Sus scrofa: one gene and its partners. The protein of the gene in region 2 interacts with the protein of the main gene of each other region in a pairwise test. Links are inferred from orthologs where the notes say so. Each region holds a gene or a part of one and is shown on either strand. Other genes may lie near its edges.

Evidence for each region. The genes of interacting proteins can lie anywhere in the genome.
Region 1: the proteins of KRT40 (region 2) and HDAC4 interact in binary tests that used the Homo sapiens proteins (3 or more experiments, as listed by UniProt). The two-hybrid records come from large-scale screens. The link is inferred for Sus scrofa from reciprocal best matches to the Homo sapiens genes KRT40 and HDAC4.
Region 3: the proteins of KRT40 (region 2) and C2H19orf66 interact in binary tests that used the Homo sapiens proteins (3 or more experiments, as listed by UniProt). The two-hybrid records come from large-scale screens. The link is inferred for Sus scrofa from reciprocal best matches to the Homo sapiens genes KRT40 and SHFL.

What each region holds. Positions count from the first base shown.
Region 1 is NC_010457.5:138,651,509-138,661,431, forward strand, and holds the start of HDAC4 (histone deacetylase 4), read right to left. Parts: upstream 5,759-9,923; 5' UTR 5,673-5,758; intron 1-5,672. UniProt on the Homo sapiens protein: Responsible for the deacetylation of lysine residues on the N-terminal part of the core histones (H2A, H2B, H3 and H4).
Region 2 is NC_010454.4:21,476,158-21,486,243, reverse strand, and holds the start of KRT40 (keratin, type I cytoskeletal 40), read right to left. Parts: upstream 5,520-10,086; 5' UTR 4,347-5,519; coding exon 3,912-4,346; intron 2,660-3,911; coding exon 2,577-2,659; intron 2,170-2,576; coding exon 2,013-2,169; intron 528-2,012; coding exon 366-527; intron 287-365; coding exon 161-286; intron 1-160. Other genes in the region: keratin-associated protein 3-2, read right to left, coding at 9,125-9,424. UniProt on the Homo sapiens protein: May play a role in late hair differentiation.
Region 3 is NC_010444.4:68,938,046-68,948,003, reverse strand, and holds C2H19orf66 (UPF0515 protein C19orf66 homolog), read right to left. Parts: upstream 5,759-9,958; 5' UTR 5,452-5,758; coding exon 5,431-5,451; intron 4,960-5,430; coding exon 4,836-4,959; intron 4,641-4,835; coding exon 4,591-4,640; intron 2,976-4,590; coding exon 2,937-2,975; intron 2,794-2,936; coding exon 2,644-2,793; intron 2,179-2,643; coding exon 2,075-2,178; intron 1,934-2,074; coding exon 1,779-1,933; intron 1,188-1,778; coding exon 973-1,187; 3' UTR 897-972; downstream 1-896. Other genes in the region: ANGPTL6 (angiopoietin-related protein 6), read left to right, coding at 493-683.

The DNA.
Region 1 (9,923 bases), on a different chromosome or scaffold from region 2:
CACACTGGCCGCACACAACAGCCACTTGACAGCTGTGTGCTTAAGGCCCTTCCTCCTCTCACTGCCCTCTCTGCATCACGAAATCCACTTCACTTGTATTTATGGCATCTACTTAAAAGCATGTAATCTCCAAAATCACAACCAAGAAGTTCCCAGATTGAGGCAGAAAGGAAACAGGCAGTTCCAGGGCACAGGCAGTAGCACAGAAGGTGCCAGGAGGCCAGGGCAGTCCTCACCGTGCTTGCAGACACCCACTCGGTCCTTCAGCCATACCCCGCCAGGCACAGGGCACAAAGCAGGCAGGAGGCCCTCGGGGTCCCTCCACCCAACGGAGACCCCACCCCTGCTAGTAAAAGAGGTGACATCAAACCACTAATGTTGCAACAAGCTATTGAAATTACACAAGCGGATCCTGTTGGGAAGGAGAAGGATGTCAGGCCATGATGAACAGGGGACCCAAGGCTGAGCTTGGACTGAGGGGTGGAGAAGCGGGTGAGGAGACCTAGTTCCAAGAATTGGCAACAGTGTGTGCAAAGGCCCTGGGGCCAAACCGGGCTCCCAGAGAGCAAGGAAGCAAAACAGGCAGGGGGCTAAAGCTTAGTGAACAGGACAGGCGCCATCAGCCGAGGCAAGGAGAACAAAGGCCAGGATCAGGCAGGTCCTCAGGAGCCTACAGAGAGTGGGAAGCCATGAATGATGGGTACGGATCTGCTTTGGTCTGGACCGCTTAGAAGCCATTTGCAAACAGCCTGGGCCAGAGCCCCCCCCAGACCCAGGAGGCCAGGAGAGCTTGGGCGAGTCAGAGAAACGCCCCCGGAGTTCTTCCAGTACTAAGCGTGTGTATCAGTGACTAAGGACCTGGTCTCCCTCCTTTATAAATAGGCTTGAAGAGTATTTTCTTCCTCCAACGGAAATAGCAGACCTCTACAAAAATACACTATTACGAAGTCAGATGTGCTTACAAGAAAATTTCTCCAATGCCAACATACATAGAAGACAACCAAAGACACTCATATCCCATTTTCCTGACACCCCCAGAAGGCCACCATGACCACTTTAAAGACCCAAGTATTTAAAAAACAGAAGAGACGGGCCTGCTTTTCACTTACACACTGCACACTTCTGCTGACCTGTGAGCCAGTGCATGGATTTCCACAGGAGGCAAGTACTAAAATGTATTTAATAAGTAGCACCTTTAGAAATACTGTAGCAATAACATCCTGTGAGTATCTGGATATCCATGTACTTATCACAGTCCTCCCCAAGAATCAATTCCAACAAGTAGAACTGCTGGAACAAAAGGGATAACCATTGAAAAACGTGACACATAAAACTCTTCTGGAGAGTAATTAAGTAATCGGTGACGGCCAAAACTTATATTCTGCTTACTATGTGCCAGGGCCTGTTGTAAGCACTTTCCATATATTAACTTATTTAAATTTCACAAAAGCCACGTAAGATAATTATTATCGCCTCCACCAACAGGTGCTGTTAAACTTAACCCATGCTAATATGGTGGGCAGACATGAAGTTGTTTGGTTGAATTTCTTTATCCGTAAAGCTAAGCCTTTTTTATTATTCACTGTGATTTGCTTTGCAGGTGTATGCACTTTGGGCATCACGTAAGAGGGATGCTTGTCTTTTTCTTATTGGTTTGTAAAAGCTCTTTACATATTGACTATTGAGCTTAGGTAGCCATTCTCTCACTGTCTCTTACCCCACTTAGGGAGTCTTTTGACAAAAAAACGTTAAAATGTTCTTTCATTCTCACACTGTTAAATCTGTCAATGTTTTCTCTTTAAAGTTTCTGGCTTGGTGTTATAATAAGAATGGATTAAATCAGTGGTTTTTCCAAGTTTCCGGACTTGGAATGCTTTGTTCCAAGGCAGCCCACGCTGCTGAGGGTCACCTGTACCCCGATCCGCTCACCAGGCAGCCTCAGAAGATCCAAGCATCCCATGTGACCACCAGGGACGGTCAGGATCCTTTCCAGGCTACAGCACCACACCCGAGAAGACAGCCCAGGAAGGCCAGAACGATTCCCCTGGCCCTACCGAAGCGGTGTCATCTACAGCAGCTCTGACAGCCCCCGACAGGACGCTAAACCCAAAGCGGTTCCTCCCCCGAGAGGCCCTGCTCTCCCCACACCCCGACCGAGCTGGGCTCCCAGATCAGAAGCAGAGGCGCGGACGCGCAGGATCAGCATCCGGGGCTTGACACAGCCAGGGGTACCGGCTGCTGCATCTTCCCGGCTCCTCGGGCGCCTCTTCTGCAAAGCGGGTGTAGGAAGAGCCACCCCCAAGGCGGTGGGGAGAGGAACGGGACCTCCGTGGCAAGTATGGACCACGGCACGGGGCCCCAAGGAGGTGCGCCTCACGGGGTAGCTGCTGGTCTGTGGTACGACCACAGCTGACCCTTGGACGTGTGGGGGTTGGGGTGCCGACCCCGGACACAGGTGAAAATCGGGGTCAGCCCTCCGTGTCCATGGTTCCACGTGCCGGATTCAATCAACCGCAGATCAGGTGGCACTGGAGGACTCACTGAAAAGAATCCGCGTGAAAGGGGACCCGTGCGGTCGAAGCCCCTGCTGTTGGAGCGTCACCTGCACATGATCTGCTCCGTGGGAAAGGGGAGAACCACGCTGATCCCCACATCTGCTGACCAGATGCCCACCGGTCCCCAGTGACACCGAGGGTCACTGCGGAGGCAGCACCTGTGGGGCCCTGGCCCTTCCTCCCGGGGAGTGAGCAGAAGGCTAGGAGGCGGGCCGGAAAAGGCATCAGGGACCACCCCGCTCCCCAAGCAGGCCCACCCGCCCCATCTCCCCACTCACACCAGCCAGGAGATGAAAAGGGCCGCGGGACCGGAGCTCCCGATCCTCGCTCGGTGACACCTCTCCCGAAGAAACGCCCGCGAACACACGCCCTGAGGTCTGTGAGCTGCAGCATCAACTTGACACAGGGCCCCTCTCTAACTTCAACCAGAAGATCCTCCACCTTCCTCTAGGTCAAGGCCAAAGCCCTGAGCCCCCTGCACGCCCCGGCACATCCTGACCGCCCATCGGGGACGGAAACCAAACCCCCTCCAGGCCAGACCAGCAGGGGCTGCGACCTGGTCCAGGGACCCGAGGCGCAGCCACAGCCCGAGGCCCCGCAGCCTCCCGGCGGCAGCAGTGGTCTTGCGCTCTCGGCATCTCCCTCGCTCCCTCCATCAGGCACTAATCTATTACTCATGGCAGTTTCTGAGTGATGAAAGCCCAGCCGTTTTCAATAGAGCACGGTATGGACGAATTCTGCAGGAGTGATGAAATGTTTCTTCTGCTCTGGCAATTAGGACGGCACAAAGTCGCCTGTCCCCGGTGCCACCCCAACATCAAAGGATGAGAATTCAAAGCCACTCATGCTGCATTGAAACCTCACAATGAAGCTGGAAAATGGAAGTCGATTACTGGACATAAATATGCAGTAGTTAAAAGGAAAGAGTTATAATGAAATTAAACTGCAGCAACCCCACGATGTGTGGAAACTTCCAGAACTCAAGGCCTCCTGGTAAACATGGAGAAGGGCACCCTCAGACAGCAGGTCTCCGACCACTGAGTCTGGACCTGCTCCCCAGCTGCACGTGGCCGGGGTGCCAGGCTGGTCTGTCCATCTTGCTACAGCAAGGGCCCCCACAGCCTCTGCGAACTGGGCATTTAGAGATTTTTTTTTATTTTGCATGGCTGTGAAGCTGCTGACCACAGAACATTCTCTCCTGGCTCACGGCTGCTCAGGCCACATCTGTCCTTGGTCCCCAGGCCTTCCAGGCCTACGTGCAGACCACAGTCACCCACCCCCCCACCCCCGCCTCCAACCTCCCCCATCCCAGGGCTCTCCCAGGGGCACTCGAGCTGCCAGGTCCCCTTGCAGGAGGAAGAACCAACCCTAAAGAGGGCAGTGTTACAACTGCCTGCGCAGAAATCCTGCTTCTTTTCTGATTGATTACTGCTCTCTTTAGGAAGGTTTCTGATCTTGAAAATAAAAGCCCAGAACACAGAAAGCTATAGAAGTCTAACAATGTGTCAGAGTGTGTGTTTTTAAGGCAGGAAAATACTTCCCTCCCACACAAATGTGAGTTCTGGGGAAAGATGCCACAGATCCCAGGGAGCAGAGTATCTGGGAAAGCTTGATCAGTCTTAAAAATAGACAATTGAACACAGATTTTAGAATTCTCAGGAGCTACCTGAAAAAAATTTAAACCCCACATATTTTTGATATCCAGAGCTCCATTCTGATGAAACTTCTAACAGGGTGGCATTTTGCATTTCCAATTATAATAGAGTAATTGTGTTGCCATAGTGACTGCAAAATTCTGCAATAACTTTTGTTGCTTTGTAATTGCTGTAGTGTATATTTGTGTACAAGCAGCTGAGTTTTCTTAATTCAATCTCTCGCCCTCCCCCCCCACCTTTCCTGGCCCGATCCTGAAACCACCACACCTGTGCTCACAGCTTTCATTCGCTTCACCGTCTCCGAAATAACGTACAGAATTATCAGAAGCAACGAAAACTCAAGGCAATCACGATCATGTTACAAAAGAAAAAGTGAAACCAGGCCAAGGTGCAAACCCACCAGAATTCCCATCCCGCTGGGCTGGCGCTGGGCGAGGGCTGTTTACATGTTTGCTCCCAGGCCTCTCATGCTTAGGTGGTTTGTGGGAATAAACAGAAAAGCCTGAGTAGAGAAAAGAGGGGGAAGCAAAGTAACTACCCAGGCCCTTTCCTCCCTCACCGAGGGCAGGCGGAGCTGCTGCGAGCAATTAGGTAGGTCTCTACAGTAATGCAATTAGGATTTAGTTAAGAAAGTCATTAGTTTTAAAATAACTTGAGTTTAATTTCTGCAACACTTTATTTGAAAATTGTGTCACAGCAGGTCAATTTACAACATGCAATAAAGCAAACACTCATATCAGCTGCTGCAAGTTATTACAAATTTTTGATGTGCATTAAATGAGTACACTGGGTCCCACCCCCGGCCTTTCCGACTGATACGCACGATCTCCTGCTAGAACAGTGTCAAATAATTCCACGCTAAATGTAAATACGAGATAATTTGCTTATAATTCCATGGTGTGTGCTTGCAACGCCCGGAAACGCGGCTCACATCCTCGGGGCAGGACGGGGCCACAGCTCGGCCTGTGGGAAGCCTGCGGGCACCCACTCGGGTCGTGAGCACCCCCACCCCTGCCGTTCCGGGCCGGGGCACACACCAGGCGACGGCGCACCCCGCCCGCGAGCCCCGCGGAGGGACGTTTTTCTGCAAACTCACAGCCTCGACAAAGTTACATAAACGGCGCCCGCCCGGGCTCGGGAGCCCCCGGCCCACCTGCCGAGGGCTCGGCCTGGACGGGCGCGGGCGCCCGGGGCCAGCCGGCCATCCTGCCCCGGCCGCGCGTCGGCCCTCGCCGGCTGGGGCAGCAGGGGAAGGTCCAGGACGGGTCCTCCCGCTCCGGACGCCCGCGGGCTGGCGCCACGCGCGGCCTGGGCGCACGGGCCGGGCCGGGCCGGCCGGCCGGGCGGACCCCGGCGTCCACCTGCCGGGGCCGGGCGGCGGGGGGCGTGGAGGCCGGCGGGCGGCCTGCGGGCGGGCGGGGGGTGGACAATGGCCCGCGGGCCGGGCCGGGGCAGCGCTTACCGCGGCGGCGGCGGCGGCGGCGGGCGCTCTAGCCCCGCGCGGGCGCTCCGAGCCGCATCTCCTCAGCCTGCGCCGCCACCACCACCGCGGGCGGCAGGCGGGCGGGCGCTCGGGCGGCGGCGACAGCGGGGACGCGGCCGCGGCGCGCCGGGCCCAGGCGGCTGAGGCGGCGGCGCGGGCGGGCGGGCGGCGGGCGGGCGCGCGGGCTCGGGCGCGGCGGCGGCGGCGGCGGCGGCGGCGGGGACGGTGCTCCGCGGCGGCGGCCCCACAACCTCCCCTCCTCATTCACAAAAAATTGACCCACGTTGAACCATGATGCTGCTCCCCCCTCCAGCACCGAGCGGGGCACTGATAGGCCACCGCCGACGCCCGTCAGCCGCCCCGGCCCCGCCCCCCGGCGGGCGGCTCTGCAGCCGTTGGCTGCGGCGGCTTTGCATCACCTCCCCTCGCGGGCCCCTCCCTCCTGCCGGGTTTCTAATGAAGAGCTCGTCAATTACGGCTCGGCCCCGCCCTCCCCGGGAGCCCGGCCGTCCTTCCATTGGTCCGCGGGAGCCCCGGGTACCGCCCCGTTTGCTCCCGCCCCTCGGCCAGCGGCCGCCAACCGCCAGGCCCGACGCCCTACGAACGGCAGGGATGCTCCACCCCTACCCGCCTTCTCCGGTACGTCCTGGTTCCTATTGGCTGCCGGAGCTGCCAATCCCAGGGGCGGGGCTATCAGAGGACGCTCCAGGCGCCAGCCGCTGGGCGCTTGGCGGTTGGGAAAGTGGAGAGAGCCCGGGCTTGTGGTGACTGTGAGCAGGGCAGGGGCTCTGGCGAGCTTCACTCTCCGGCCCCCCCGAGAGCTGCCCACGGTGGCTTAACAATCATGACCGCGGGCCTGCCCGCCTAGTGGGCGCAGACCGGGGCGGAGGCTGAGGCGGGGAGCGGGTTAGGCCCGGCCACAGCCTCCATCTTGGGTACTGGCAGTGGTCACGTGGTGGTGCCGCCTCCCGGAGGCGCAGGGGCGGCGCGAGAGGCGAGTGCGCAGGCGCAGCGGGCCCCGCCCTGCCCCGCGGCGGGAACGCGGCCTTTGGGGCTGGGGCTGGGCTGGCCGGCCTTCCCGCGGGCGTGGGGCGGGCGCAGCGCGCCTGCGCGGCTGGGAGGGACGGGGCGGCTGGCTCGCCGGGTGGTCCCAGCCGTGTCCGCCTCGCTCGACTCCGTCGACCAGCCCGTCTGCCTTGGGTGCTCAGTGTTTGAGGGATGCCGTGCTGGGGTGGTTTGTGCTGTCAAGCGGCCGCATGGGGCTTCGCGGAGGCCCTCGGAGACCCCTTGGGCCGCCCACCCGAAGGGCGTGGCGGGGTCTCCGGCGACCACCCCCTGGTCGTTTCATTTCCCAGCCTCGGTGCGCCTAACGTTTTTCAGAATCCCTGCTCTCCACCTAGTGAGGGAAGCACTGAGGGTGCGCGGATGCACGAGCTGAGAGCCAAGATGAGTGTTGAGACCTGGAGTTCCTGGAGGATGGCATCGTGAGAGAATGAAAGACTCAACAGTGGGTTCCAACTGCAGCACTTGGAGGTCCTATTTATGAAACACTTCCTTTAATAAGAGTGCTGTATGCAGTCCAAAGGGTTCTAGAATTAATTTGCTTCCATGAAACTTTATACCTCGCTGGACATTTGCAAACCTCTCAGGATGGTTCACAACCAAACACGTGACCACTGCTCAAAAAAACGTGAGCTCTAATAGCCAAATTTTGTTAAATAAGTTGTCTCTTAACCAAAGCAGCTTTTTTTCCTAGAAAGTAGAATGCGGGGTCCTCGTTTAAGAACTGCGTCCAGGAGTTCCCGACATCGCTCGGCGGTTAACAAATCCGACTAGCATCCATGAGGACACAGGTTCCATCCCTGGCCTTGTTCCGTGCGTTAAGGATCCCGCGTGGCCGTCAGTTGTGGTGTAGGGTGCAGATTTGGCTCAGATTCTGTGTGGCCAAGGCTGTGATGTAGGCCAGCAGCTATAGCTCCGATTCTACCCTAGCCTGGGAACCTCACTATGCCCCCAGTGCAGCCCTAAAAAAGCAAAAAACAAACAAACAAAAAAAACCCCAAACAACTGCATCCAAGGAGTTCCCACTATAGCCTCTCCGATTAAGCCTGGCATTGACTCTGGGGTCAGAGCCACAGTTTCTGTGCCTGGCCTGGGAACTTCCATATGCCCCAGATGCGGCCAAAAAAAAAAAAAAAAAACCTGCCTCCAAGAGTTTATTATCTTCAAATACCAAACTGCCCTTGTTGGACAGGCTGTATAACATGAACCTGGAGGCCAGAGTTGCGCTGAAGTGCGCATGAAGTGACACAGCAGGTCTGACAGAGCAGGAGCCTTACCTGTCTGGCGAACTTGGTCATGAAAGAAGAAGAATCGTGGAGGAACTGCCGGAAGTGACGGGGTTATCAGAGGGGTCTGCCGGGTCAGGGGAGAGGCCTGAGCTGACACCTGCCCCTCCTGGGTTATACCAGAGAGAGGCACACAGTGGCCTCACTGAGTGATGTGAGCACTTCCAAGCTTTGGGGCCTGATGCTCTTTCCAAAGAGGAAAGTAGAAGCCCTTCTGTTTTCATAAAAATCAGTTTTGTGTTATTTTTTTAAAGTCTCCAGAACTTAAAGTCAAATCAGAAAATAGGCCAGTTTAATTATAGCTCCTAGAATAATCCTAGAGGCAAAGAGAGCTGAAACCTGATGGAGTAGCTGCGACAGAGTCGACCTGCGGGATGCTGGCAGAGACGTGTGGGTCCTTTACTGTGAGAGCCTTTCCTGGATTCACTTTCTTCTTACGGCCGCAGACGCGGCATGTGGAAGTTCCCAGGCTGGGGCTTGAATCAGAGCTGCAGCTGCCAGCCTACACCACAGCCACTGCAACACCAGATCCTTAGCATCGTGAGCAGGGCCAAGGATCAAACCATATCCTCTCGGAGACCATGTCGGGTTCTTAACCCACTGAGCCGCAGTGGGAACTCCAGCCTTTGCTTTTAGAGATGACCAGAGATTCGTTTTATGTATGTACGTATGTATGAATTTGCTTTTTAGGGCCGCACCCGTGGCACATGGAGGTTCCCAGGCTACAGGTCGAATCAGACCTATAGCTGCCAGCTTACACCACAGCCACAGCAACGTGGGATCCGAGCCACATCTGCGACCTACACCACATCTCACGGCAATGCCAGATCCTTAACCTACTGAGCGAGGCCAGGGATCGAACCCACATCCTCATGGATCTTCGTTGGGTTCATTAGCTGCTGAGCCAGGAAGGGGAATTGGAGAATAGTTTTAATATTCTTCATAAGTGATTCTTTCAGAGGAAAATACAGCTATATGGGTGAAAACACAATTTTCTAAATGAAAATGGACAATTTTGCAATATGTAAAATATCTTGAGATATTAAGTGATGATTAGAAAACCTTGGGCATCCTAAGCAGCATTGCCTGTCCCGAGACGCAGATGCCAGGTGACCTCAGAAGGTTAAAGGCGTGGCTGGAGACCATGACCCCGTGACGCGGCCAGCGATGGAGGGTGCGCGCCTCACGCTTTCCTGTCAAAGCTGAAGCAGAGTCGGTGGCTAAGGAACCTTTGGAGGGTACGCGTTAGGCTCCCGCTACTCACAGAGTAAACAAGCAGGAGAAAACGCAGAGGTGCTGCGTGAGAGTCTCCTAAAGCTCATTAACAAGTCCCACAGCAGCGCAAATCAGCTATAATTCAATAAAACTTAAAGAAAAATCCACGGTGGGGGCGGGCGGAACAGCAGCCACTCTCATTTAACCACGTGAGGGAGACACGCCTGAGGACTGAGTCCCGTGAGGAGTTCTGGGAAGTGGATCCCAGCCCGGATTCATTGGGAAGAATTCTAGCCGGAGAAACGAGCAGCGCCCCTGCCGCGCGCCTTTCGGGCCTCCCCTGAATCCTGAGGGCTCCTCCAGGGATTGAGGCGCCTGGGAAATGTCAGGCCCCAACGGGGAGAAGAACCCCGATTCCCTTCTCTGGAAAAGAGGAACATGGGGGCTGGGGGGCTGTGTCTGTCTCCAGGTCTCTGAGGGGCTGTCTGGCCGAAGGCCACCTGCTCACAGCAGCCGGAAGTTGGTATGAACGAGATGGGCACGGCGGAGGGTCTCTAACGCTAGAGCTGAGCGCAGAGGGGGAAACACTGGCCAGACACCCGTTCAGGGTCACTTGAGGCGGCCTCCAAAGGCACCTTACACCGAGTCCCAACTCTTAAGGGATTAG
Region 2 (10,086 bases):
TTATTTAAAAAAGAAAAAAAAGGCAAGGAAATGCAATCCTTGCACATTGGAAATTCAGACCTTCTGCTCCATGAACTGTGGGTCTCTCCTTTGGGTTATGGGGACACTATCTCGAGGCCTGACTCTTCAGTGACAAAACAGTTATCTTTCCCTTACACACCAGGCTTTGCTGTGCTTGAAGTTCAATCTCCAGAGCAGTGGCTGTGCGTTTCAGTTCCAGCATCTCCGTCTGGCAGCCCTGCAGCTGCTCTGCACTGGACAGCTGCTGCTGGTTCAGCTCCTCCGTCTGTAACACAGGCCTGATTAAGAGAAGGCAAATAGGGCACAATCGGGATGCCTGGCATTTTGCTGCTCCAGATGCTCACCTGAACGGCGAACCATTCTTCCATGTCTCTGTGGTTGTTGGCGAGCACGGTTTCATACTGACCACGCATCTCATCCAGGACCTTGTTGAGGTCCACGGTGGGGGCAGTGTTTAGCTCCACACTGAGTCGGTCCCCCAGCTGTTCACGAAGCACGTTGACCTCCTGTGGGTGGATATTATGGAGTAAATAATATCAGAGTGGTGGGAAAAAAAATTCAACTTGACACCCCAAAGGCATCCCATTTCTGGTTTGGGGAGTAGTGGGTAAAAGTGGGGGATCAGATTCAGACTGCCTAACCTGAGTCTGGTTTCATCACTCAGTTTCTCCACCTGTGGAATGGGTATGATTTTTACCTTTACCAGAGAGTTATTGCGAGATACACGAGTTAAGAGACATAGAAAACACTTATCAACACTTATTGGTGCCCAGTAAGTTCTCAGTGTCGGCTGTTATTATCGTCAACAAATGTTCAAGGGGAAGTTAGACTTTGTTATGTCATCCAGCTCTTCATTTTTTTTAGCATCATCAATAAGGGATAAGTAGGAGTTCCTCTGTGGCTCAGTGGTTAATGAACCTGATTAGTATCCATGAGGATGAGGGTTCAATCCCTGGCCTTGATCAGTGGGTTAAGGATCCAGTGTTGTCATGAGCTGTGGTGTAGGTCACAGACGCAGCTCATATCCTGCATTGCTGTGGCTGTGGTGTAGGCTGGCAGCTACAGCTCAGATTTGACCCCTAACCTGGGAACCTCCATATGCCAAGGGTGAGGCCCTAAAAAAGACAAAAGACAAAAAAAAAAAAAAGAGATAAGTATACACTTCACATTTAATGATTTTTTTTTTGGCCATGCCCAATGCATGCAGAAGTTCCTGGGCCAGGGGTTGAACTGTGCCATAGCAGTGACCAGAGCCACAGCAGTGACAATGCTACATATTTAATTGCCAGGCCACCAGGAAACTCCACATTTAGTGATTTTTAAAAGTTTATAAATGCAGCATATTTAAAAGTATTTGTCCAAATACTGCATGAGTCTATATTGCCTTTTTTTTTTCTTTTTCAGGGATGCACCTGCAGTGTGGAAGTTCCCAGGCTAGGGATCCAATTGGAGCTGCAGCTGTCGGCCTACACCACAGCCACCACAATGCTGGATCCAAGCTGCATCTTCAACCTACACTGCAGCTTGCAGCAATGCCGGATCCTTAACCCACTGAGCAAGGCCAGGGATCGGACCTGAATCCTCCTGGATACTAGTCGGGTTCCTAACCTGCTGAGCCATAATGGGAACTCCTATTTCCTTTTTGAAATGGCCTTTATATTCTGCAATGATCAGCCTGCTTTTCACACCTTATGGGTTAGAGTTAAGAGCAGCAGAAAGCCTCCAGGAAAACCATGTGTGGGTTTGCCTCGGCCACAAAAGCAGTGGCAGGTGAAAGGTTTGGTTCCTCCAGCTGGCCCTGGCCAGGGGTTAATTCCGTTACATTCAGAGACACACCAGAATGATCAGGCTGGGGAGTAATAGTGCCTCGAGTCCTTTTCTTCCACCTTAAGCAACATCTGCTCAAGTCCAATCTATATACACAACACGGGTTCTGTCAGTTTAACTGTGCCCCTCTTAGAGCCGTTCAGGGATTTTGCCCTTTTCCTCACCTCTTCATGGTTTTTCTTAAGGCAAAGGAGATCATCCTTCAGAGACTCCACATGAGCTTCCAGGTCAGACTGGCACAGGCTCAGCTCCCCCAGGATCCCACGCAGGCCGCTAATGTCCATCTCCACCAGCTGGCGGAGGGACAGCTCAGCATCGTACCTTTCACAGCAAGAGACACAGCCGGTGCTTACCCCGCTGGACACTGCGCAAAGCGCTGGGCCTACCAATGACTGACGCGTGGACCCAAGGAACCCACATATCGTGACTCCTTCTACTCCCCAAATAATGAAAATTCAAGCTGCGTGAGCATTCTTCGCTTTATATATATATATTTTTGGAGGGGAGGGGGGTTGGAATTTTCTTCTGTTTTCTTTACACAGAATGAAGCATTTTCATAGCACATATTTTATAGGGTTTGCTTAGAGATGAAAACAGAAGGAAATTTCACAATTACTTCTGGCTTAAAAAATATTATGTAGAGAATACCAGTGGTGTGTGTGGAGCTATGTGAGAGAAGGAGAGAAAGAGGCAACCGTAAATTATTTTCCAATTCAAATTAACCTTACTTTGACCTAAAGTCATCGGCAGCCAGTTTGCAGTTGTCAAGCTGTACAGCAAGTCTTGAGTTCTCTGCCTTCGTACACAAGATCTGGGAAGCAAGATATTATGTCATAAGTGGTTCTGTGAAAAGAAACCCAAGTATCTACTTGTTTAACCACTAAGGCATCACTTATCTTTTAAAGTTTTACAAGAAAATATAAAGTAGCTTTCAGGCTGCTTTTATTAACCGTGTCACTTTGTGAAGAAAAAAAGGAGCACCAGTTATAAATGAAATGGAGAAATAAAAAGGTTTAGTTTTTTAATGACACAAGACTTTTTTTTTTAACCGTCACACCTAAGGCAGGGCCAGGGGTCGAACTGGAGCTGCATCTTTAGGCTAATACCACAGCCACCTCAAGAGTAGATCCAAGCCACGTCTGTGACCCAGGCTGTGACAATGCCAGACCCTTGACCCACTGAGTGAGGCAAGGGATTGAACCTGCATCCTCATGGATACCATGTCACGTGAACCTGATGAGCCACAACAGGAACTCCAACCTAAGACATTTTGCAGTATCCCTTGGCACTTAGGTTTTTCTCCAGAAGTAGTTTGTTTTACGACTATAGTACCATCCAAGATAATAAAAAATTCATCAGTAATAAAGGGAAATAATTACTAGGTGAAATTATAGGATTAAAAAGATGGCATTTTGGGAGTTCCCTGGTGGCCTAGCAGTTAAGGATCTGGCATTGTCACTGTCATGGCATGGGTTCAAACCCTGGCCCGGGAACTTCTCCATGCTGCAGATATGCCCCTTCCAAAAGACATTTCAATATCTGCGTTAAAAATACTATACAGGATTTCCCGCTGTGCTCAGTGGGCTCAGCAGAGGCTCTGGACTGCTAGAACGAAAGTTCGATCCTGGCCCAGCACAGTGGGATAAGGATCCCACATTTTCTGCACCTGCAGCGTTAAGTCACAACTGCAGCTCAGATCTGATCCCCAGTCCAGGAACTCCGTGTGCGGGGGTGGGACGGGACAAAAAAGAAAAAAAAACGCGTACATGTGTACACGTACAGTGTGTCACACAGAAGTCCTTCTCGATATAACACTGTTGTTCCTCCTTCCCTAGCTGATAAAGGTAAATTTAGAGGTCAATTATTTTATCATGATCACTTAGTAATTAGCGGCAGCCTAGGGGCTGGTGCTGAGGCCTCCTGACTTTCCTCTGCATCGCATTACCTCTGAGAAGTCCCTCCCCTTTCCCTGGTATCCTGCCACAGAACAGCCTCTAGCAGAACAAAAATAAAGCAAGTCACAGACTGGGAAGGTGGGACTTCAGGGCGATGAAATACGAGACCTTTTGTTGGAGCTCTTCAATGGTGTCGAAGTAACTCTGATAATCAGGGCACACCGACGGGGCGTCCTCTTCACACTGTTCCCGGATCCTGCATTCCAGCTCCGCATTCAGCTCCTCCAGCCCGCGCACCTTCTCCAGATAGTTGGCGAGTCTGTCGTTCAGGAACTGCATCGTCTCCTTCTCGTTGCTGTTGAACGCGCCATCCTCACCCCAGACACAGTTCCCCACCAGGCACGGAGCGTGGCAGCTCCCGGCCAAGCAGCGCGGCCTGAGGCAACCAGCTGATGCACAGGACCTGGGAGTGTGGCATCTGGAGGTGGCACAGGCGCTGGGGAGACACGTGGCGTCCACGGGACCGGTTGAAGCAATCGCGCCATCAGAAGCCCCGGCCCTCGACGCAGAAGAGCAGCAGGAGGGGGAACAGTCAGAAGCCATCCTATCAGACGAGAAGGGCAGAGACTAGTTGCAAAACTCCAGCTGCCTGCCTCCAAAAGTCTCCTTCTCTCCGGAGACTTTTATATCAGCCCCCAAATGGGTATTTACGCAAAGCACGCAAAGCACCGGATGTTTTCCGGTGCCAGTTTTCATATGAACACTCATTAGTGTTGTTTATTTGCTGAAGAAGAGTTTTATGCCTCATAAAACAGGCATAACTTCAAGTTGCTAAATAAGGACACTGTTGCCATGTGCCGGGAGGATAAAAATGCTTTTTTTCAGAAAATCTTCATAGGAAATACTTTCCTTTTGACCAAATAAGGAAAGAAAAGGGAAAATTTGGCCAATCAGTAATTATAGATACAATTGATTGGGCATAAGGAAAATAATATTCCCACAGATTTTGAGCCTGTGCCTTGAAAATGGTTTATGTCTTCTTTTAAAATTAATATTACAAGTCATTTTTTCATTTTTTTAAGGTTTTATTGAGGTAGAGTTGACTTACAAGGTTGTGATAATTTCTGCTGGACAACAAAGCGGTTCAGTTATACACGTGCCCACATCCATTCTCTTACAGGTTCTTTCCCCGCATGGATTATTACAGAATACCGGGTAGAGTTCGCTATGCTATATGGCAGGTGTCCGATGGCCAGTCATTCCATATACCTCAGGGTGCATCTGCCCATCCCAACCTCCTGGTCCATCCCTCCCTGCCCCCACTTATCCCCTTTGGTACCCACAAGTTTGTTTTCAAAGTCTGTGAGTCTGTTTCTGTTCTGCAAATATGTTCATTTGCATCTTTTTTAAGATTCCACTTATAAGTGATATCACTCATTTAAGCGCCCCTTGTTTGTTTGTGTCACCACCATAAAAGTGTCCTGTGTGGTTTGCAGTCCTTGCAATGCTTTCTGTGGTCTCGCCGTGCTCACATGGTAAAGGAGTGAGGTGTGTACTGGGTTTAAAGTGTGTATGTGAACCATACCTACTTGGGTGCAAATTGACAAGTCACTTTACATAATGGATGGGCTTAATTTTTGCCCTCCAGTCCGAAAATATAAATTGGTTATCAAGTTATGGGGTTGTGATCATTTGATTTTTTTTTTTTCTTTTTTAGGGCCACACCTATGGCATGGGGAGGTTCCCAGGCTAGGGGTCCCGTTGGAGCTGTAGCTGCTGGCCTACGCCACAGCCTCAGACAAGCCAGATCCAAGGCACATCTGTGACCTGCACCACAGCTCACAGCAACACTGGATCCTTAACCCATTGACTGAGGCCAGGGATCAAACCCGAAACCTCATGGCTCCTAGTTGGATTATTTCCACTGCGCCACGACAGGAACTCCTGAAGTTGTCATCTTTGATTTCCTGAAAATTGCCGTCTCCACATTTCTAATGCCTCGTTTTCCTATCAGGGATACGGTGGTTTTTTTTTTTTTTTTTTTTAAACTGCATCTCTAATAGAAATGAAATACAAACTCTCTTATAATCTTTTAGTTTCTTGGGAAACTAAACCCTCATTAATTAAATTACATTTCAGAGTAGGGGCAAGGAAGAAACAGGCTTTTCTTCTGGGATATGGAGCCTCTTTTCTCTTTTTTACTAATTTATTTAATCTTGAAGCTCCCAAGAGCATGAAAATTAAAGATACTGGAACTTATGAATAAAATTCTATGAGTTCCAGCAGTTCCATTGGATGAAATCTCTTGTGGTACCAAATGGATAGGTATTTGAGATGTAAGTTTTCAGGATTCTCTCTTAAATTTTATCTTCACTTTTCACTTTTCTTGGCTTTAATTGTGATATTTATTTCCTTAAAAATGTACAGAATAATTTGTCTGCAGAATCTTTAAAATCTTTATGGGAAAAAAACAATTATTCTGACAACATTAATATTTTCTTGATTTAGAATAAACAGTTTTTTTCTAATTCTGAGCACTACTTCCTTAGGTAGCTGATAGCAAAAATAAACAAATAACCAAAGCCAAACCTAGAAATCTTAAATAAATGCATTAAAATAGTCTCTTATGACTTATTATTCATTGAGCAGAGTTGGGTTTTTTCTTTTTAGGGCCGCACTGATGGCATAGGGAAGTTCCCAGGCTAGGGGTTGAATCAGAGCTAGAGCTGCCAGTCTATGCCACGGCCATAGCAAAGTGGGATCCGAGCTGACTGTGCGACCTGCACCATAGCTCACAGCAATGCCAGATACTTAACCCATTGAGTGAGGCAAGAGATGGAACCCAAATTCTCACAGAGACTAGTCAGGTTCATTACCACTGAGCCACAGTGGGAACTCTGAGCAGAGTTGGGTTTGATTTTAGTAGTTCTCTTAATATTTCAACACTTGTGCTTAAAATTCTTAGTGTGCCAATGGTATAAGATGCAGTTCTGCAAAGGACATGAGTTCAAAGTTTCAAAAACATACTTGAAAGTTATAAATATCCACAGGAAAGTTATGATCCCACAGTGACCTAGAGTCAAAGGAAAAGTTTCTTTGAAAAAATAATCCACGTCTTGATTGTCCACCCATAGGTTCCAGGGGTTAAGGATCTGGCATTGTCACTGCTGAGGCTCAGGTCACTACTGTGGCATGGGTTCAATTCCTGGCCCAGGAACTTCTGCATAATGTGGACACAGCCAAACAATTTTACAAAAAGGATGTTACTAGATTTTCCCCCAATATAATTATACCATTTTACATTCTTGACAATAACATTTGAGAGATTTAGTTCCTCCGTATCTTCACCAACATGTGGTATTGTCAGACATTTATAATTAAAATGATTTTTTGGGTCACGTTTAAGTGTTACAGTTTAATTTACATTCTTTTGACTAATGATGTCGAGCAACTTTTCATGTATTTATTGGCCATTTGGATATCTTCTTTTGTGAAGTGACTTTTCAAATCTTCAGCGTATTTTTCATGGGCTGATTATCCAGGAGAAAGTATATGTTACTTGGCAATACAGTCTCTGCAGTTCTGCTAAATTGACCATCTCCAGGATTCTTTTATGCTTCCTGTAGGTCTGAGATTTCATTTGATATAATTATTCTTTTAAAGAAAAAGACTATTCTTTAGTGTTTTTCACAGTATAAATCTTCAGACATTTTTAATCAGTGTTGTTTATCTAAAAATATTTTTGCTTTCCTTTCAAGTTTTGAAGGCTATTTTGCAAGGTATTAGAATTCTGATTAACACTTTTTTTCACTTTCAGGACCTTAAAGATGAGGTTTGACTGAGCAGAGGTTAGATATCATTTTTCTCTTGATCCTTAGGCGTGGGTTTAGCTTTTTCTGGGACAGGTGTAATTTAGTGTGTTCTTTACTCGGGACTGTGATCCTTACTCTTTTCATAAGGCTCCTTACTCTTCTGGAATACGACTGAATGTCTAAGGGACTCAAAGAGCTTTGCCTGCTCCAGAAAGCCTGGAACTTCAAAGTCTTTTAGACTTGAATGACTTCTTGTATTTCCACTCAGCTCTTTATCCCCCAGCAGCCATTCTATGCTAGCATCTTGGAATTTCATCCTGTGTGCACGCAACGCAGCCTTTTGCAAGTACTTGAGCAGATCTTTTCCATAGACCTTTGCTCCTTCCCTCATACCTCATCCTCCTAGAACCCTACTGTGCAAATTCCAGCTGCCTGGACTTCATTTAGATATGCCACTTGTGTCTTGCCATGTCTGCAGCAAACCTCAGTATTCCCCTTTTAATTCTTTCCTGCTTCTCTGCTCCCATGCTCAGTTGGTGACCTAACACCACTGCCCAGTCTCTCTTTGGCAGCGTCTTCTTTATCATAGTCTTTTGATCTCCAGCTTCAGTCAATTTGTCCTTGACTATGTCTTTCTCTTCTTTATCTTTGGGGCAGCTATCTTGATTTCTTAATGGTTCTCACTTTTGTGGTACCACAGAAGTTTATTAATGCTACTGGTAGAGCACTTATATTTTTATCATAATACCATGCCTGGCATTCAATTAATAATGATCAGTTGTATGAGGGAATGAGAGGGTATTGTGTATGTATCTGCCTCATCCTCCAGACAGTCAGCTTATTTTTAGCAGGGACAATAAAATAGATTTTTAGTATGCTTATTGAATGGATGATATTGTTATTATTATTTTATTTTTTTGCAAAAACAGATCAGGCACATCTGGGTTAGTTGATTTATTATTTCATATTTGGTCTTACCTTAAACCATTTTTGGGGCAGAAAGTCAGAGAAGCTATGCCGATATACTGGACCATTTTATATGCAAAGCCATTTAGGTTTCTTGAAACAACAAGAACAATAAAAGCACCCTTTTCGATTTTTCAGATGTTCTCATTTCTTAAAATGCAGACCTTTGGATTCAAGAAATACACTCAATGAATTAACAAAAATAAACAGAAGTAACTATAGACATTTGTGCTATGCCAGAGATGTAAAATTTATTAGGATAATCATGAAGAAGTTCCTCAATTTCCAGAAAGATACCATTCAAGACTGGAAACAGAATTCCCAAAGCACCCAAAGAAAGATACACTTTCACATGAAGGAATCAAGCAACTTTGGCAAGTCTATGAGCATCCACCTATTCCAATTGCCCTAGTTTACTGATCTCTGATCCATGGCCATTGAAAATCTCTTGGTTTCTTTTTTATGGAGGTTGTCAATGAGAGTGCCATCCTTGTTCCAGCATTGAAAGTGGAGCCACATTTGTTGCAGGTACCGAGACAGGTGAATACTAGAGCTTCTGGGTTGACTCGTTCCACATCAGGCTCCGAGCAAAGCAGTCATCACTCAGCAGCATCTTGGGATGCAGGGCTCACTGCCGCCGGGCTGAACGTAGGTTGTAAGATTGAGGGTCTCCAGGCCAGGGGTGGGCTGGGAGGAGTTGAGCAGGAAGCAGGTGGGCACACAGGGCTGAGGGATGTGGCAGGGTGGGGGGCAGTTGTCACAGCAGATTGGCTCCAATAGCCAAGTCGTGTGGGGGCAGGTGCTGGGCAGGCAGACTCCACACCGGCAGAATTTGTCAGAGGAGCAGATGGTGGTGGCGGGGCCGGTGGGGACGCTGCAGCATCGGGCAACACAGCAGGCCATGGTGTTGGGAAACTGTGTTTTTGATCGGTTTGATTTAAAGAAAGCTGGGACTTCTTCTGAGATGTGAATGTCTCTCTTTTGCTCTGGAGCTCTTATATATCCTCTCCAGTGGGTGTTGGTCCAACCAGAAGGCTTCTTTCCTGGTTCTTGTTTGTGTTAGTGCACCCATTATCCTTTGATTGGTTTGACATTTAGAGGCTTGTAAAGAGTCTCTAGTTTCCTAATTAACCTTTATTTGAGTTCATTGCTAAATCGGAACTGATTACTCTTGCTATTTGTCACTGGAACACAAGCTTTATGAGGTATCACTGAAGGCTTCTGCTATTATAATTCCAACACCAGCCCTGACGGGAATATGCGTGATGTGTGCCTGTAGTATGTAGGTCTCTTCTCTGGTGCTGCTCAGTTTTTATTCTCATGACCCGTTGGTCTGATGAAGTATTCTTGTTTTAAAGAGAAGAACCTCGTTTCAGTAACTCTCTTTTAGCTTTTGGGTCTTTAAAAAATTATCTAATTTTTAATCGATGTGTCATCGATATGGAATATTGTATTAGTTTAGTCTGGGTACTTCTGAAGATCAAAATTACATTAATATGGGGAAATACGCTATTTTTCCAGTCTTTATCATCACATATTATGTATTCATTTAAAACTCTGAACTA
Region 3 (9,958 bases), on a different chromosome or scaffold from region 2:
TCTGCTCCTGGTGGTGGTGGGGATAGAGGACTTAGTGAGGAAATGAAAGGGGGTGGGGTATGACTTCCCCTCGTAAGTATCAGGGTAGACAAGGAAATGGAGGACAGGACTCTTATTCTGGTGAGAGGGTGGGGAGTTGCAGATTCATTCTCTGACGAGGCAGTAAGAGTCAGGACTCCTACCTTGGTAAAAGGTGGCAGGTGGACTGGGATGAGGTGAACTATGAGAACTAGGATTCTTATTCTAGAAAGGAAGTAGAGAAGGTTGTTTTCCCTGATAAAGGAGTGAGAAGTAAAGCTACTAGTTTGAAGAACAGTAGGGAAAATGTGACTTGTACTGTGGTAAGGGGATAAGGAAGGAATTAAGGCTCTTACTCTGAAGAAAGTTGGGGGGTGGGGTGGGCAGAGAATGCCTGGCAAAAGCCTTGTACTAATGAGATGTTGGTAGAGGCTTTAATTCTGGTGAGACAACACGGATTCTCTCTCCCTTCAGGTAACTGTGCCTTGTACCAGCGGGGAGGCTGGTGGTACCATGCCTGTGCCCACTCCAACCTCAATGGTGTGTGGCATCGTGGTGGCCACTACCGTAGCCGCTACCAGGACGGTGTCTACTGGGCCGAGTTTCGTGGTGGGGCTTACTCTCTCAAGAAGGCGGCCATGCTGATCCGGCCCCTGAGGCTGTGACCATCTATCCATCTTTCCCCCAGGTCCCAGGGGGATGTTTGTTAGCAGGAGCCCAAGTTGTCCTGGCCACACCTCCTTCATGGCTCAGTGCAGGCCATGTCCCACAGACCTCTTCCCATTGTGGATCTGCTCCTGGGGGCCCTGAACACAGGACCCGGGAATCCCCCTGCCAATATCTCAGACCCAGACCGCTCCCCAAGGGCATTTAGATCTCCGTTTGAGCTCACATTTTATAACAACACAAAGTATCCACAGACCGTGTCTGGTTTGCATCTGCACCTGGCAGGGGTCACTCCCCATGCCCACCCTCCTCCTCCTCCTCCTCCTCCTTCAGGTCCTCCAGAATGAGGTTGTCCAGGTCTTCCAGGAGGCCCCCCTGGCTCAGGCAGGTGGCCACTGTGGAGCCACTGCTGATGTGGGGGTTGCTGGGGTGCAGGACTTTGGGCAGGTGGTTCTGCTTCCGGCTCTTGGGGTGCGCACAGGAGGTCCCAGGCACGTGGGGCTCTGGGGAGGGAGAGGTTCTGAGGTCCTTGGACCTTGATGCTACATGAGACTCTGGGGGCAAGGAGGCTAAGGCCACGGGGAGCTCTGGGGAAGGAGGGGCAGAGGCTATAGGCTATGGGCCAGAGCTACAGGAGATTCAGAGGCGAAGGTCACAGGTGTTGAAGCCACCAGAGACTCAGGTACATGGGCGTCACCTGAGACTATGGGAGACGAAATGGGAGCCAAGAACGCAGAGACCACAAGGGCAGAAGCCACAGGACACTGGGGTGTGGGCCACTGGAGTGAGACCACAGAGCCTATGGGTAAGACAATGGAAGGTGGCCAATGCCATGGGAGGTGGGTGTTAGGAGGGGCAAGGGTCCTGAGGGACCTGGAGGTAAGGAGACTTGGAGGACCATGGAAGATGTAGAAGGAGGGGCAGATGCGCTGGGAGACAAAAGGGCCTCCAGGACTGATGTGGCCTTGGGAGGTGTGCAGAAGAGGCAAGCAGAAACCCTGGTACTTAAATCCCCAGGGTGGATGTCCCAGGAATCAAGGCCAGGTAGACTGCCCAGAGTTGGGGAAGGCCACGGGGACACACCAGGCCCTCACCTCGCCGGTTGTAGCAGTCCTCAGCTGAGCAGGAGTGGGTGTGGTTGCTGCGGCGATCCGTGTCCCAGTCCCAGCGCGGAGGGAGGATCCGTGTTGGAAACACGGGGAAGCCGCACCCATAGCAGGGGGATGTGGACCCCATTTGCGCCCAGCCCCTGGGGGCGGGGAGGGCCGTGAGGGTCCAAGGGCTGCCTGGGCCAGTGTGGGGCCGGGGCTAGGAGGGGCAGGGGTGGGGTGGGGCGGGGCCGAGAGTGGGGACTAGAGGTCAGAACCCTCACCAGAAGTTGTGCCCTCACCGGAAGTTGTGCCGACATTTCGGGCAGTGGAACTCAGCCACGCCCCACATCTTGTCGGGTGGCACTGGCTCGTAGCGCTTCCTGCATTTCCTGCATCTGGACACCTGGGGGTGCGGAAAGGGGAGCCGGCTTGAGGTCAGAGGTAAGTACCAACAGCTTGATGTTGACCACAGTGAGATTTACACAATGGAAATTGGCAAACACTATAAATCCGGGGTTGCCTCCACCCCACAAGAGCTGGCTAATAGGCATTTACCAGAAGCACACCACTGGTCAAGGGGTTCAGAAGCCAGATATAGGGTTGTAGTTGCGGGGGGTCAGGTTTGACTTCTGCGGTAGCTGTCAAACTATGTAATCCGAGATCAGGCTCTGGGGTAAAAGTCGAGCTTCTCAAGTTGAAAGAGAAGTCCAGTCGGGGTTGGGGTATGCGATTCGGGTTGATCTCTGAGGTTGGAGGTCGGGGGTTGGGTTCTTAGAGGCTGATGTTCTTCCGTCAAGGGTTTGGACACTGAGGTTGAGGGTTGGGAGTGGAGTCAGGACAGAACCAAGGTCAGGGGTTGGGTTATCACCTCCTTCCGCTGGGGCACGCGGCGCCACCAGACGTGGTCACAGGAAGAGCAAGCGAACTGCCGGTCCACGGCAGGGATGAGGTCTTCCTGGGCACGCTGGAACATGCGTAGGTTGGCTTCTGTCAATGGCAGGAGGGAGGTTGCCACTGCCTGTAGGATGGTGTAGGTGGGGATGGGAGGGTTGTCAGCCCTCTTTTTCCCTTCCTCCCCCTACAGCGTCCCTCGTCCTCACCTAGGGACCTCCCCATGGATGTCCTCCCTGCTCACCTTCCCGTCCCACATCCTGGACTCACCTGGATGTCACGGTCCTGCTTCATATCCTCTGGGGGGTCCTAAGTGGAGACACCAGGGCAGAAACTGGGGATGTGGCTCATGCATCTTTTCTGTGGGTGGGGCTTCTGGGGAGCGGGGGTTCTGGCCCCATATTAAGAGTAGGGTGTCCCTAGGAGTTCTTGCTGTGGAACAGCCAGATCAATGGTGTCCTGGGAGTGCTGGGATGCAGGTTTGATCCCTGGCCCAGCACAGCGATTTAAGGATACTCCATTACTACAGCTGCGGCTTAGGTTGCAACTGAGGCTTAGGTCTGATCCCTTGCCTGGGAACTCCACATGCCGTGAAGTGGCAAAAAAAAAAAAAAAAAAAAAAAAAAGCAGGGTGTTCCTAACTCAGGAGGAGTTGATTGACTGAGAAGTATCTATTTCCTCAGGGCAGGATGTGTGACTTCAGTTGTCCTTAGAGCAACCCTGAGAGGTAGGCATATTTATTACCCCCATTGTTCAGATGGGGAAACTGAGGCCCAGAGCTGGGAGAGGGCTTGCTGAATTTACCCTGAGTGAACCTGGTGGGGCAGGCCTGGACCCCATGCTCCTGTCCTACTCACAAATGCCACACATTTGTTGGCATGGTGACAGGTCACCTCTTTGAGGCCATGCTGCTTTAGGCTAAGTGCTTGGGCTCTGGATTTAGGGAGATGGGGGTTGAAATCCTGGCCTCATTACCTCCAGCTGTGGGGGTGTAGCCAAGCCATTCCCACTACTGAGGGACATCTAAGAGCCCAGGTTCTGACTCTAGGTGGCGGAGGTTCAAATCCCAGCTGTCACCTGCCTTCTGCATGAACCTGGCAAGTGGCTTCATCACCCTGTGTCTCAGTTTTCTCATCTGTAAAATGGACATGCTAGTATCTTAATAGGACCTGTCTCATAGGACCTGTGGCAATGAAATCAGTCAACAGGTAAAAGTCCTGGAGTCCTGCCACAGGGGAAGTGCTTTATCAATGACACTCTTTGCTATTTTATCATACTCATCATATGTATAAATGTAAATATATGAATGTTAAGAGTGTAATTCATCCTTTATTACACTTTTTAAGAACTCTATGCTGGGCCTTTTAGACAGGTGAAACCAGTGCACCAGACACCAAAGCCATCTAAGGGGCAAAGTGGCCCTGTTGTGTCTATGCCTCAAAGCCTTTCATTCATTCATTCATTCATTCCTTTGGGATCCCCTGCCCCTCTCTCCTCCCCCACCTCCTGCTCATCCCAGCCTGTCCGCATGTTCCTTTGCTCGCACAGCCTCCCTCTTCCAGGAAGACCCTTTCTGACTCCTCCCCTTCCCAGGGATGACTCCTCCCTGATCTTGAACAACTTCCTTCCAACTCCTCCAGGAAGCCTTCCCTGACCTCTGTGGCTCCTCTGTAAATGACATTAATCCCGATTCATTTCACTGGCTAGTTTCTTGTCTCACCCCCACTGAATACAGTCAGCATGTAATGAGCACCTACTGTTTGCAGGCCCGCCAGCCAGATACAAGACTGAGAGGTGAATAAGTGAATGAGGCTGTACCATGAGTTGTGGACTGACAGTGCACAGCGGGGGCTCAGCGTGAATGAGCTTACCCTTCTGTTCTCCCTCCCCTTAGCACATCCTTTGAGGGAGAGGGACAGTTTACCTGGGCATCCAGGTCATTACTCAGTTCCTGTCCATCTTTCTGCTTTACCCCTGGTGGGGAGAGTAAGTGTAAGTGAAGGGCCCTTGAAAGATCTTGTGGGAGTTTCAGTGTCCCCAGAACCCCTGATACAGACCGCTCCCCAAAGAGATGATCTCATCGCTTCTTTCTACCCCCAACACAGACCACACCCCCCTCCAGTGCTCCTCTGCAGAACCCCCACCAGGCCCTCGATCCGGCCTGCTCACCGTACACGATGGAGCGCCCCACTCCGGTGTGGTCGCTGCCAAATTTCCTCATCAGAGTCCCCGCCTTCTTGGGGGATACCTTCCCATGAAACTTCTCCCGGAGGCGCCGGACGCTCTTCTCCAGCTGGGGTGGGGACAGGGGGCTCCGAAGGAGGAAGGAGAGGAGCGATGGCCCTTCCCCCATCCCTAGGCATCCTTTTTCTTGGCCTGAACTTGACCCTTGGTTTTGGCTTCTGCACAGCACCCCCCCCCCCCCAATCCCTCTACTGCATTTCCTGGAAAAAGCCAAAGTCCCTACAAGGCACTGGGGGAGGGAGCGGACCAGGGTGAGCGTCCTAGGCTAAGAGAGGAGGCCCGCCAGGTAACCCCTGGCCTCTGACCCTTGACCCAGCAGCCTCCGCTTTTCCTCGAGGAGGCCGCATTTCGCTCTAGGGCATGTGGTGGCCACTCTCCTTTCTGAGGGGAACGAGTGCCAGCCTAAGGATTGGTCTGGGTTTCAGATGGAGTCCCCAGGAACTGCGAAGCCCCTTTCGCGCCCCGAACTCCTCCCCAGCATCTCTCGCAGGCCCCCGGCCCACTGGCAGCCATCTCCTACCTCCACACCTTCCTGAGACATGGTGGCGGCGCAGGTCCCAGCGAGGGTCCGCACTGCGCGCTCAGCGACCCCCTACCTGGGCGCGCCCGTCGGTCCTGCCGCCGCGCAGGGCAGGGGGCGGGGCCTCCAGGCGGGCTCCGCCCTTCCTTTCCGGCCCTCCGTTTCGCTTTCGATAGGGAAAGGGGGGACGGGGCGCGCTGGCTCCGCCTTGGCTCCGCCTCTGCTCTTGCGCCCCAAACCCAGGCGGGCGCCACCGATCTGCACCCTGCGGCGGAGCGCGCAGACCTCGGGCGGGGGAGGCAGCGCGGCCTCTGCAGTCGGTCACATGTCCCCACGCTGCGCGGGGTCCGCGTCTTCACGTCCCTCGTGGGGGTGGGGCCGCATCGGAAGGCCGCGGCGAGTTTCCGCGCCCCCGTTAGCTCGCGCCCCCCCATTTCATTGTTCCATCCCCTCCCCTCCCCGGGAATCAGGCAGTATTCAGCACCTGGACCCCTTTCTTGCTCTGAGTCTCTTACCTGGCCACGTCCCCTTTCTGAACCTCAATTTACTCCTCTGTAAGATGGGATGATGGTAGTGGCTACAGTCTGGGTGTATTTTGGCGGCGGGGCGGTGGCGGGGGCGGTGTGTGTTTGCCAGGATTCGATTCCCTGCGTAGAGCAGTTAGTAGCGCCTGGCAGGTTGTAGACACTTAACTGGTCACTGGGTCACCTACTATGTGTAAGATAAGGAGGGGCAAGCAGCTGGGGGGAAGGAAGAGATGCTTGTTAAGAACACAAATTCCCGGGGTCTCTAGCAGTTGTCCAGAGTTAGGCTGTCTAGGGGATTACAGGGAATTTACACTGTAAATGGGAAGGTTGAGAACCCCAGGGGTCCGAACTTTTCTAACCTAGCAGGGGGCGAAGAGGGGGCTAGAGGAGCTCTTAGGAAGGGCTCTGGCCCAGCCTGAAGGCTTCAGAAATGGCTTCTCTGAGGAATCCTTGAAGTATGAGGTCTCAGCTAAGCGAAGAATGGAGTAGGGAAGGAGGGAGCTAGTCCTGCAAAGACCCCAGAATCAAGAGAATCTAGCGCTTTAATCTAGGGCTTCTCAACCTCAGCTCTACTTGGGGCTGGATGGTTCTTTGTGGTGGGGACCTGCCCTGTGCATTGTAGGGTTTTGAGCTGCATCCCTGGCCTCTACCCACCAGATGCCAGTGGCACACTTGCCCCAGTTGAGACAACTGAAAGTGTCTCCAGATGCTGCCAAATACCCTCTGAGGGGCTAAATTGCATTAGGACAAATGACTCCAAAAATCATTTTTCAGTGAGCACCCCTATGTTCAAGCTCCATCCCCAGGTGGCTATTTGTGTATAAACTATATACAAATACAATTATACTGAGAGATTCCATAGATTATTTAATAATAATGTATTCAGTACATAAAGATATTCCTCAGCAGACTAAAAAAAAAAGGACATTAAAAATAGAAATGTTCCGGGAGTTCCCGTCGTGGCGCAGTGGTTAACGAATCCGACTAGGAACCATGAGGTTGCGGGTTCGGTCCCTGCCCTTGCTCAGTGGGTTAATGATCCGGCGTTGCCGTGAGCTGTGGTGTAGGTTGCAGACGCGGCTCGGATCCCGCGTTGCTGTGCCTCTGGCGTAGGCCGGTGGCTACAGTTCCGATTCAACCCCTAGCCTGGGAACCTCCATATGCCTCGGGCGCGGCCCAAGAAATAGCAACAACAACAACAACGACAAAAGACAAAAAGACAAAGGCAAAAATAAATAAATAAATAAATAAATATTATTAAAAAAAAAAAAAAAAAAAAAAAATAGAAATGTTCCGGAGTTCCCACTGTGACGCATCGGAATCGGTGGTGTTCCTGGAGTGCTGGGATGCAGGTTCGATCCCCGGCCCTGCACAGTGGGTTAAGGATCTTGCATTGCCTCAGCTGCAGCATAGGTCATAACTGTGGTTTGGATCTGATCCCTGGCCTGGGAACTCCATAAGCCAAGGGGCTGCCAAAAAACAAAAAAAAGAGAAGTGTTCTAATGTGTTCTTGAACCTCAACCTTTTGTTTGTGGGGTCTATGCACCTTTCTCTGGAGCCTGCTCTATTAGTGAATATAAATAGTTCACAGTTCTTTGTGGCTGGCCAGTGGGATTGCAAGCAGGGATGGGGGCCTTTAGGCAGCACATAGGACCTGGGATTTTATCCTGAGGGAAGTGGGGAGGTGTGGAGGGGCTCTCCCATTATAATTGCCAATTACTCCTTATCCAGTGGAGGGGGAGGGCATGGCTACATCCCATCCCTTGGTTAGGGTGGGCATTGAGCAGGTAGGAAACGGGTGGGAACCTAAAACAGCCCTGTTACAAGTCAGGTCTGCTAGATTCTCATCATAATGGCCACCATAGTGAGAACTTACTCTGTGCCAGCCACTGTGGACACAGCACCAAATAAAACAAATCCTCATCGAGCTAGCATTCTAGTAGGGGAGACAAGAAACAAGGATAGGAGATAAGTGCCAGGAGGAAAAATGAACTGGGTAGGGGGATGGGTAAAGGGAGTTTAGAAATGGTTGTGGGAAGTAACAGCTGAGGGGAGATCTGAAGGATGTGGCGAGGGGGAGAATTCCAGGTAGAAGGTGGGAGCCTGGGACTGTTGTTACCAGGTATTATAATTCTCTATTGCTGCATAGCAAATTATCCCCAAGCATTAGTGGCTTAAAACAAGAAACAAACCCAACTAGTATCCATGAAGATGTAGGTTCAATCCCTGGCCTCACTCAGTGGGTTAAAGATCCGGTGTTGCTGTGAGCCGTGGTGTAGGTTGCAGATGCTGCTTGGATCCCGTGTTGCTGTGACTGTGTCTATGTCCAGCAGCTGCAGCTCCATTTTGAACCCTATCCTGGGAACTTCCATATGCCGAGGATGTGGCCCTAAAAAGCAAAAAAAAAAAAAAAAAAAAAAAAAAAGGAAACACGTTTTAGTTCATATAGCTTTTTGGGTCAGGAATCCAAGAGTAACTGGGCTTTCTGACTCAGGGTCTCTATAACGTTATAATCGAGATGTTGCCTGGGACTTCAGTCATCTGAAGTTTTGACTGGGGCTAGAAGATCTTACTTCCGAGGTGGCTCATGCACATGGCAGGTATGTGGCTGCTGGTTGTTGGCCGGATGCCTCAGTTCCTCCCTAATTGGGCTGCTTGAGCTTGATACTCTCAACTTGGCAGCTGGCCTCCTCAGAACAAGTGATCCGAGGAAGGAAAGCCAGGTGGAAGTTGTATCTTTATAATCTAACCTCCAGAGTCACATAGCACCACTTCTGCTGCTGCATCCTCTATGTTAAAATCCAGTCACTAGATCTAGCCCATGTCTAGGGATTGGGGGATAAAGACGGTCCTCTTTCTGCTCCTCCCCTACCATTTCCTGCTGGAGCCTTTCACTGGCTGCACCAGAAGGTAAGGAAAGTAAGGGAGTCAGTCACACAGTTAGCCTCTCAGGGCTCAGAGCAGGGGGAGAAGGGTGAGAGTCAATCTGGAGGGACAAAGATACAACCCAAGTGTTGAATTTTGGCATTTGTAGGTGAACAGAAAAACAAAGATTCCCAGCGATCACGTGGGGGCGCTGCCTGCCTGCCAGTAGCTCTGTTTGAGCTTTGTGGCCATCTTGGGCTGTTCAGATGTGGCTGGTGCAGTGATGTGAACTTTACTGCATTTTATCCTTTATTTTCATAAAAAGGCATAGAAGGGGATGAAATAGATGTGCCGATAACAGTGATAAGAAGTGTAACCCCAGAGTTCCCACTGTGGCGCAATGAGGCTGGTGGCTTCTCTGCATCTCCAGGATACAGGTTCGATCCCTGGCCTGGCAGGGTTGCAAGTGCGGCTCAGATCTGATCCCTGGCCCAGGAACTCCATATGCTGTGGGATAGCCAAAATAGGACCCCCCCCCCCAAAAAAAAAGAAGTGTAACCTCTGGTAATTTAGTCTAATTGAGTCAAAGATGGAGCCATTTGAGCCATCCGTTCATTAATTTGACATGCATGCATCAAGCGCCTCTTACGGGGGGCAGACACGGTTCTGGGCATCATTTCTACCATTCCCGAGTCATAGTCTTTTCTTTCTTTCTTTTTTTTTTTTCTTTTTAGGGCTCCACCTGAGAAGTTCCCAGGCTAGGGGTCAAATCAGAGCTGCAGCTGCCAGCCTACAACACAGCCACAGCAACACGGGATCCAAACTGAGTCTGCAGCCCACACCATGACTTGTGGCAACACCTGATCCTTAACCCACTGATTGAGGCCAGGGATCAAACCTGCATCCTCTTGGATACTACCCAGGTTCTTAACCAATTGAGCCACTATGGGTACTCCCAGAGTCCTCTTAATGGGAAAGAGAAACATGAAGCAGATAATACTGTAAGTAGTTATTTAATTATATTGATAGTATATGAGACAGAGAGGGAAAATAAATGAGAAATCTGTGAGAAAGGATAACACCTCAGAACCTGATCTGCATAGGGTGGTCAGGGAGGGCTTCATGTGATCTGCATA